Linked DNA regions of Elephas maximus indicus. The protein of the gene in region 2 interacts with the protein of the main gene of each other region in a biochemical or structural test. Links are inferred from orthologs where the notes say so. Each region holds a gene or a part of one and is shown on either strand. Other genes may lie near its edges.

What was found. The genes of interacting proteins can lie anywhere in the genome.
Region 1: the proteins of GOPC (region 2) and SSTR5 form a complex in vitro, tested with the Homo sapiens proteins (2 studies listed by BioGRID and IntAct, with this or other methods). The link is inferred for Elephas maximus indicus from reciprocal best matches to the Homo sapiens genes GOPC and SSTR5.

Annotation. Positions count from the first base shown.
Region 1 is NC_064830.1:58,234,315-58,238,060, forward strand, and holds the start of SSTR5 (somatostatin receptor type 5), read left to right. Parts: upstream 1-1,335; 5' UTR 1,336-1,406; intron 1,407-3,746.
Region 2 is NC_064819.1:184,796,067-184,799,812, reverse strand, and holds the start of GOPC (Golgi-associated PDZ and coiled-coil motif-containing protein), read left to right. Parts: upstream 1-985; 5' UTR 986-1,220; coding exon 1,221-1,508; intron 1,509-3,746.

The DNA of each region.
Region 1 (3,746 bases), on a different chromosome or scaffold from region 2:
CCAGCTGGCCAGCCCTATTGCCATGGCTCCTGGACAGCAATCTTCCCTTGTTGTGCTAGGCGAGACCTCTGCAGAGTGTCCCCAGCAGGGCCTCACCTAGCCTGATCCTCCGCAGCGCAGAGGCTCCCTCATCAGCCCGATTCTTTCCTTGACAGTTTTCACCACAAGCTGAAGTTTTCTCCATTTTAAGTTGTCTCTGGTTTACCATCTCTTTCTCTCTTTGTACATGCTGAGCTCAGGGAAGCAGAGTCTTGTTCATTTGTCTACAGCCTCATCCCTCTCATGAAGAGCAGGCCTGGCCCCGTGAGTCTCCAGCTCTGTTGGAACCTGCTGTGTCAGCAACAGGCCACACAGTGGGACATGCAACAGCCATCATTTCTCTCCTCATCCAGCACAACCACCCACTGTCACCACTTATGGGACCATCTGGGCCTCAGCATGGCATGTCTGCCTGCTGGCAATGGTCCCTAAAGTCCTCAGTGCATCACCCCCTCAAGGGCAGCAGTGTCCGTATCAGCCAGCAAGGCTAGGTGACAGCTGCCCCTCAGAGGCCTGCAAGGCCCATGGAGGAGCTGGGAGGCTGGCCAGGAGGGCTCCACTCAGGGGAGGGGTGTTTACACTTTCTGACTCCATTTTTCCTGGAGCTGGGTGTCTGGCCTCATGCCAGGCAGGGCAGGTTTTCACGGGGAGGGGGGTCTGTGCAGCTCTTGGGGAGCTGGGGACACCAGGCAGATGGGGGTGGGAATGGCTGGTGACTTCCTGAGCACAGGTCTGAGTCCTGCTGGGGACTTGTCTGCACCAGGGCCAGCCACAATCCCCCCAAAAGACCCATCACCACCTCTCAAAAACGGGCACAAGATGGATGCCAGCTCTGCTCCAGCGCCCTGTGAGACTCTCTTGCAGAGAAACAGTGGAATGGGCGGTGGGTGGCCAGGACCCAAATTCTGGGAGTGTCAGAGGCCTGCTCCCAAAGTAGCCCCAGGTCCTGGGGGAGGCAAGCGAAGGCCTGGTTTCTGCCGTGTGCCCCTCCCAGTGTGCAGGGACCCTTCAGGCTGGACAGGAGTGGTGGAGGGCCCTGGTTCAGCCCCTCCAAGCCTCGTCTGCACCTCTGCTGTGCCCCGCCCTTGCAGTGGGTACCCCGAGCCCCAGACGGGGGTCTAGCGTGAGGCACAACCTTGGGGAAGGGGGTTCCGCCTATGGGGATGCAGCTGCGGTGGGCAGCTTGTGACCAGGACCTGCTGGGTGCCCCCCTCGCACTCCGCCCCCTCGGGCTCAGTGTTCCCGCACCGCCCCCACTCGCCCCGCCCCCCACTCGCCCAGCCCCGCGCCACCGCCTCCGCGCAGCTCCAGCTCCCCAGGAGCGCAGCGCTGACAAGGGCTCTGGGGACAGGGGCGCTGCTGCCCAGGTAAGCCCTCCTCCCCACTTACTGCTCCTGGCCTCCCCCGCCTGCACCCCGCGCGCCTCTTCTCCGCTGGCATGGACACCAATCGTCCTCCCCCATCACCCCCTCTAGGCATCCGCGGGCTCACCTGCTGCCCCGTGTTCCTCCCCCTCGGTCCCCTCCCCAACCTCAGCCGCTCCAGACCCTCTCATTTCTCTTCACGGTGCACCCCTTCCCCCTTGACCCCGGTGTACGCCGGCCTCTGGGACCCCGGGCTCCCTTTGCTCCGAGTCGGGGAAGAAACCTCAGCGGGACAGCCCTCTCTGCCCGCTGAAGTCCACCCCCACCCCCTCGGCCCGGCCTCCCCTCCGTGGACGCCACAGTGAGGCTTGCCCCTGGGGCTGGGAGAGGGGCGCTGCGCGGCTGGGGAGGGCTGTGTGTGGAGGGAGCTGCAAGAACCAGAGCAGGGAGCTAGCAGGGGGCCTTCAGAGCAGAGAGCAGGGGAGCTGGCCAAGGGTGGCAGGGCCAGCGTGGGTGATCAGGCTCAAAGGCAGGATGGGTCCCCAGAGCCAGGCCAGCTCAGGGCAGGTGCAGGCACACACAGACTAGGGATCCTGGTGAGTCCCCTCTCCTAGATCAGGAGCCCTCCATGCACTCTCTAAGAACCGCCTCTCCAAGGTTTGCAAGTTAGTCACTGGGAGCCCTCCACCAGGTCAGGATACCTGCTCCTCCCCAGTACCTAGCACATAGCCCTCCCACATTGATACCTGTGCAGTGTCCGTGGCCCCTACCTGCTCACCTGCCTGCCCTGCTGTGCCACCTGACAGCGGCCTGGGGCCCTTGGGATTGGTGAGGCCCAGAAAGCTGGCTGCACAAAGTTGAGCCTGTTAGGGGTAGGGAGAGGCTGCTGAGCCTCTAGAGAAGAGCTCAGGCCCCTGGGGCAGCTACTGGGGGACCTCCCAGGCGGAAGTGGTCAATTGCACCAATGACAGTGGTTTAACATTAACTCCAGGCTTCGTGAGACTGTGTAGTGAAGTGGGCATGTGCCCTGGATTGAGACCCTGAAGGGGGCTATTCCCTCTCTACCCCCTGAGCCATGCCAGCCTACTCTACTCAGCTGCCTCTTCTGGGAATTTACATTGCCTGGCCACATGCTGCCTGAGGGACAGGGGAGTGTGTGGGCAGGGGCTGCATGGGGCTGCCATTTGTTGCATGCCAACCAGGCTTCCCTACTTTGCCGCTTCCTGGGACCACCCCACCTAGGCCTGACAACCAGAGGGAGAGGAGGGAGCTGGAAGCGGGGTCAGGAATCTATGGCTGGGGAGGTCAGGCATGACCAGAGACCAACTGCTGTCCCCATGGCTGCCCCTTCCCTGCAGACCTGACTCCAGAAACTCGGGCCTCCCTGAGCCCTGCGTCTACAGCTAGGCTGTGGGGTTCACAGGAGCCATTACTGAGCACTCACTGTGTGCAGGGCAGCATTCTGAACACCAGAGCTTAACTTATCTGCTCAGCAGCTTTGCAGCTTGGAGGGGCTATCAGTTACAAGAACCAGAACTCAGAGAGAAAGGACTTACCCAGGTCACATGGACAGTGTGCGGGAGGGGGGGGCCTTTTCATTCCCTGAGCCACGTGGTGGGCCGGCAAGAGACAGGCTGGGCCAGTCCCTTCTGGTGGGGGACCCCAATTGTCAAGCATGGTGAGTTTCACGAATCCCCCTCCATTGACTAACTCCCACCCCCACACCTGGCCCAGGGGAAAGGGCCCAGGGGCAATTTTCCTGAGTGTATAATTTCTGTGACTAAGAGGATTGCCACTCTGAATAATGGTTCTTGTGGAATTGTGTTCCGAGAGGCAGGCACAGCACTGATGGCCTGTTTTTGTTCTTCACTGCTGGATCTAGCCTGGGAATTGGGTTGTTTATGGGGATGGCAGAGCCAGGGACCTGGCAGTCTGCTCTGCCGGCCCTGAGGCCGGCTCTGCTGGCTGTGAGTCCTGGGGTGCTGGGAGCGGCCTCGGAGGAGCCCTGAGCAGCCCAGAACTTCACATGTGAAGAAAAGGCATTGATTTGATTTAAAATCAAACATGTGTTCATCGCTGCACATCCCAGGAACCCAGGGCCTGCCTCAGAGGTGGTCTGAGCCCATTTGGCCCCTCCTCCTCCCATGGGAAGCAGATCCAGGTCCCCCAGCCAACCCGGACCCCCTTAGGTCCCACCTGGGATGGGCTGAAAGCCCTTTCTCGGTATTTTTTTGGGAGAGAGGGCTTACTTAGTCCACAGGACCCCAAAGCTGGGTGTGAGCCCTCCTCACCTGGGTGCCCTCAGAGCCCACCTGTCTCCAGGTAGCCACCCTGCCCTTCCAG
Region 2 (3,746 bases):
CGCGCGCCTGTACGTTGAGTCAGAATTGACTCCACAAGAACGGGTGTGGTTTTTTCTTCTTTTTTAATAATACATACAATATATAATCATTTTGCATTCCGATGTATGGTTTCAAAAAGAAATCAACATGAGCTCTATAATGAGAGGGGAAAACAAGCCATTCTTTGGGGATATCCACTTAAATTGTTTAATTTTTCTGAAACGTCACGTGTTGAACACTACCCAGTTTTTTTTAAATAATTGAGTGATTCCTTCAACACTTGCACTTTTCAAATAGTTGTTTTTGAAATGTATGATCTGTGGTGTAACAGGACCTAATACCACGTGCCAAGCACCCATGCTAAGCATTTTACCTTATTACTGAACGAAGTAAAATTTGAGACTCCGAGGTTAAGTAACACGACGAAGGCTGTATAGCCAGGGTGTGAAACATAACACTTGAACCCAGGCCTGCCTCTTAATCACGAGACAAAAGGTCTTCTATTAATTCGGCAAAACCTGGTCAGGCGCTCTCCTCAACCTGCAGCTTTAAGCAGTTCCCTCCCAGAGTTTAGGGCCTGGTTTAACAAAAAGAGCCAGTGTATCCAACACTCCACCCTAAACAGGAACTGGAAAGAAGAAAGGTAAAACGTGGCTATTGCGCATGCTCACTCTGCCCTTCCAAGCTTTCCACTCCCTGCCCCCGGACTCTACTGCAGCAACTTTCCCAGACTTTAGAATAGCTCCCGCCCACTGTGAAGTCAAACGGGCGGAAGCCGTTCTTTTCTGCGACGTGGATATCCTCTCTCCCGCCGATCTTTCCAAATTGGAAGCAGACACCATGCGCCTCTGTTTCTCTGGGATCCAACTTGGAGTTAGCCAGTTGTCAAGATGGCCGCTGACAGCCGGTCCCGAGCACAGGCCTTTCATAGGCCAAAGTCTTATCCTAGCCCCGCCCATTTCGTCCCCGCCAGCCTTGTCCGCCTGCCTCTTTGCTACGCATGCGCAGTGGGAGCGGGACGGAGGTGGGACGGTCCCGGGTCTTCCGTGTGCCACCGCCGCCGCCTCAGCCTCGCTGCTCTTGCCACTGCGGGCCTACCTTGCCGGCGTTAGCCGCGCGAGGGGAAGACGGGGTACGACGGAACGTGCGTGCGCGGGGGTCCCCATAGTCCCAGCAGTTCCCCTCGCGCAGGGTGGGCGGCGGGGGTCAGCAGCAGGCAGGGGAGGCCCTAGGCGGCGCCATGTCGGCGGGCGGCCCGTGCCCGGCGGGGGCCGGTGGGGGCTCAGGGGGCGCCTCCTGCGCTGTGGGGGTCTCCCCCGGCGGGGTATCCATGTTCCGGTGGCTGGAGGTGCTGGAGAAGGAGTTCGATAAGGCCTTCGTGGATGTGGATCTACTCCTGGGCGAGATCGATCCGGACCAGGCGGACATTACTTATGAGGGGCGACAGAAGATGACCAGCCTGAGCTCCTGCTTTGCGCAGCTTTGCCATAAAGCCCAGACTGTGTCCCAAATCAACCACAAGCTAGAGGTGAGCAGAGGGCGCTGGCGGGGCCACATTCAGTCCCAGGCTGCCTGGTGGCGTTAGATCCTATTTAGATACACCAGTGAAACAACTCCAGAAAACTGCCTACAGGGGCACCTGGGCTATGAATGTGATGGGAGAGTGCGCGTGTGTGTGTGAAGAAAGGAGTTAGGTAAGGTAACCCAGTGCCGTCGAGTCGATTCCGACTCTTAGCCGACCCTATAGGACAGAGTAGAAGTGCCCCATAGAGTTTCCAAGGAGCGCCTGGCGGATTCGAACTGCTGACCCTTTGGTTAGCAGCCGTAGCACTTAACCACTACACCACCAGGGTAGGTAAGGTACGGAGGAAGAGACGTGTGGGTCTCCCGGGGTCGTGTCATCACCTTCTTAGCACCTCAATGGGGAAGAAACAGGAACTAATTACACCAGCCAAGACTTAAGCTCAAAGATTCTCTGTCATAAGAATGAATACCTTAGCCCACCTTTTTACATTTAAGACGTCGATAAAACAAAGTTTGCATATCACACCAGACAGATACAGGCCTGGTTATTTACTTATTTTTTTAAACTATTCCAGACCGGCATCTGCGGTTACAGAGACATACTATTCTCTGCATGCATGAACTATTTAGGGGAATTTGATCAAAGCTCTTAGAATTTGTGGGATAAATATGATAATATCATTGCCTTTCTCGGTTTACATCCACAGTTGGTCCTTAGGTTACAGGCAGACATCTCCAGAGCCCCGTGCAGTTATTCAAATGGCTTCTAACATTGAACTTTGTGTATTTGTACTTTACTGTGTTTCCCAGAGTCTGAATTTATTTTTGAGTGTGTAAAGAATGATTGTTTTAGTCTGTAATCTTGGGGTGGGTGTGGGCGAGTGGTGGTGGTTTCCCCTCCCAAAAAACAAAAAACCCTACCACATTTTGCAGAAAATGAAATTAGGGCATTATTAAAATATTTAGAAATCATGATAGATTAATTTTATTAAATAATTACATAAAGAGCATTTTCTAATTTAAAAAAAATTAGGCAATTTAAATGAGAATGAGTCTTTTAAAAGTAGATTAAAAATGGGATAATCAGTGATGTGCAAAACTCTTTGAACATTAGTTTTCCTAAGAAATCATTGTTGCTACTAGTTATGATAATTGAAACTACCCATCAGATCCAAATTGATATGAATATCAGAGATGCATCCTCTCTTCGCTTAGTGGTCAGCATTTTTTCGCTTTTCTGTCAGTCATAAAAAAAGTGGTATAATCTGATTAACATTGGTTTGCACATCTGAGATTTTCTGCCTCTTCTCCACTGAATGGACTGTTAATTTCTTCTACCCTTTTTAAAAGGGTAAGAATGAAAGTGTTGATATGAAGGTAATAATTGGCTTTTCTAGGTAGAATAAAAATGTCTCTTGATTTCTTGATTGATAGTAATTTCTAGAAGATAGTTATTTTTTCAAGTAGTGAAATTGCATCTGATGGTACTTAGAAATAGTACTTGAGCTTTGAATAACAAAGTAGGAGAGGAGCTTTTGTCACATGAGAACTTTTTTTATCATTTACAACTGCAGGTTTGTAAATGACTTGCGGAAACATTAAACAGTGATATTATGATGTCCGGTTTAAAATCTAATTTTGCAGAAAGAATCATTATGTGAGTAGGAGGTAGTGCTCAATTTTTTTTTCATCTTTAAGCATTTTAGATGAGTATTCAAAGCTGTAATAAATTATGCATGCTCTTTTTCTCAGAAGTTATAATTATGTATTCTGACTTCATGCCCTGACTTAGAGGTGGCGTTATTTTTCAAAATAAGAAATGCTTGCGAATCACAATGTGAGCATATTTTTCAACATGTTTGAAACTCTTCATTTAAAGGTCTCAGAAAATGTAGAGGGAGAGACGTAAACTTGATTTGGTTTTTTTGTTTTCTTGCTTTTTCCATTATAATGACTTGTCTGTTTGTAGTATTAATCTTCCATAATTTAGTAATTTTTACACCTTGTATGGAAACCCTGGTGGCGTAGTGGCTAAGAGCTACCTACGGCTGCTAACCAAAAGGGCGGCAGTTTGAATCCACCAGGTGCTCCCTGGAAACCGAATGGGGCAGTTGTACTCTGTCCTATAGGGTCGCTGTGAGTCGAAATCAACAGCAACGGGTTATGGAATCAGTTGTGTACTGCTGAGGAGAGAGGTTCAACGCCGGCGTTGCCTTTCATAGTAGGTCTGCTGTATCCGTCT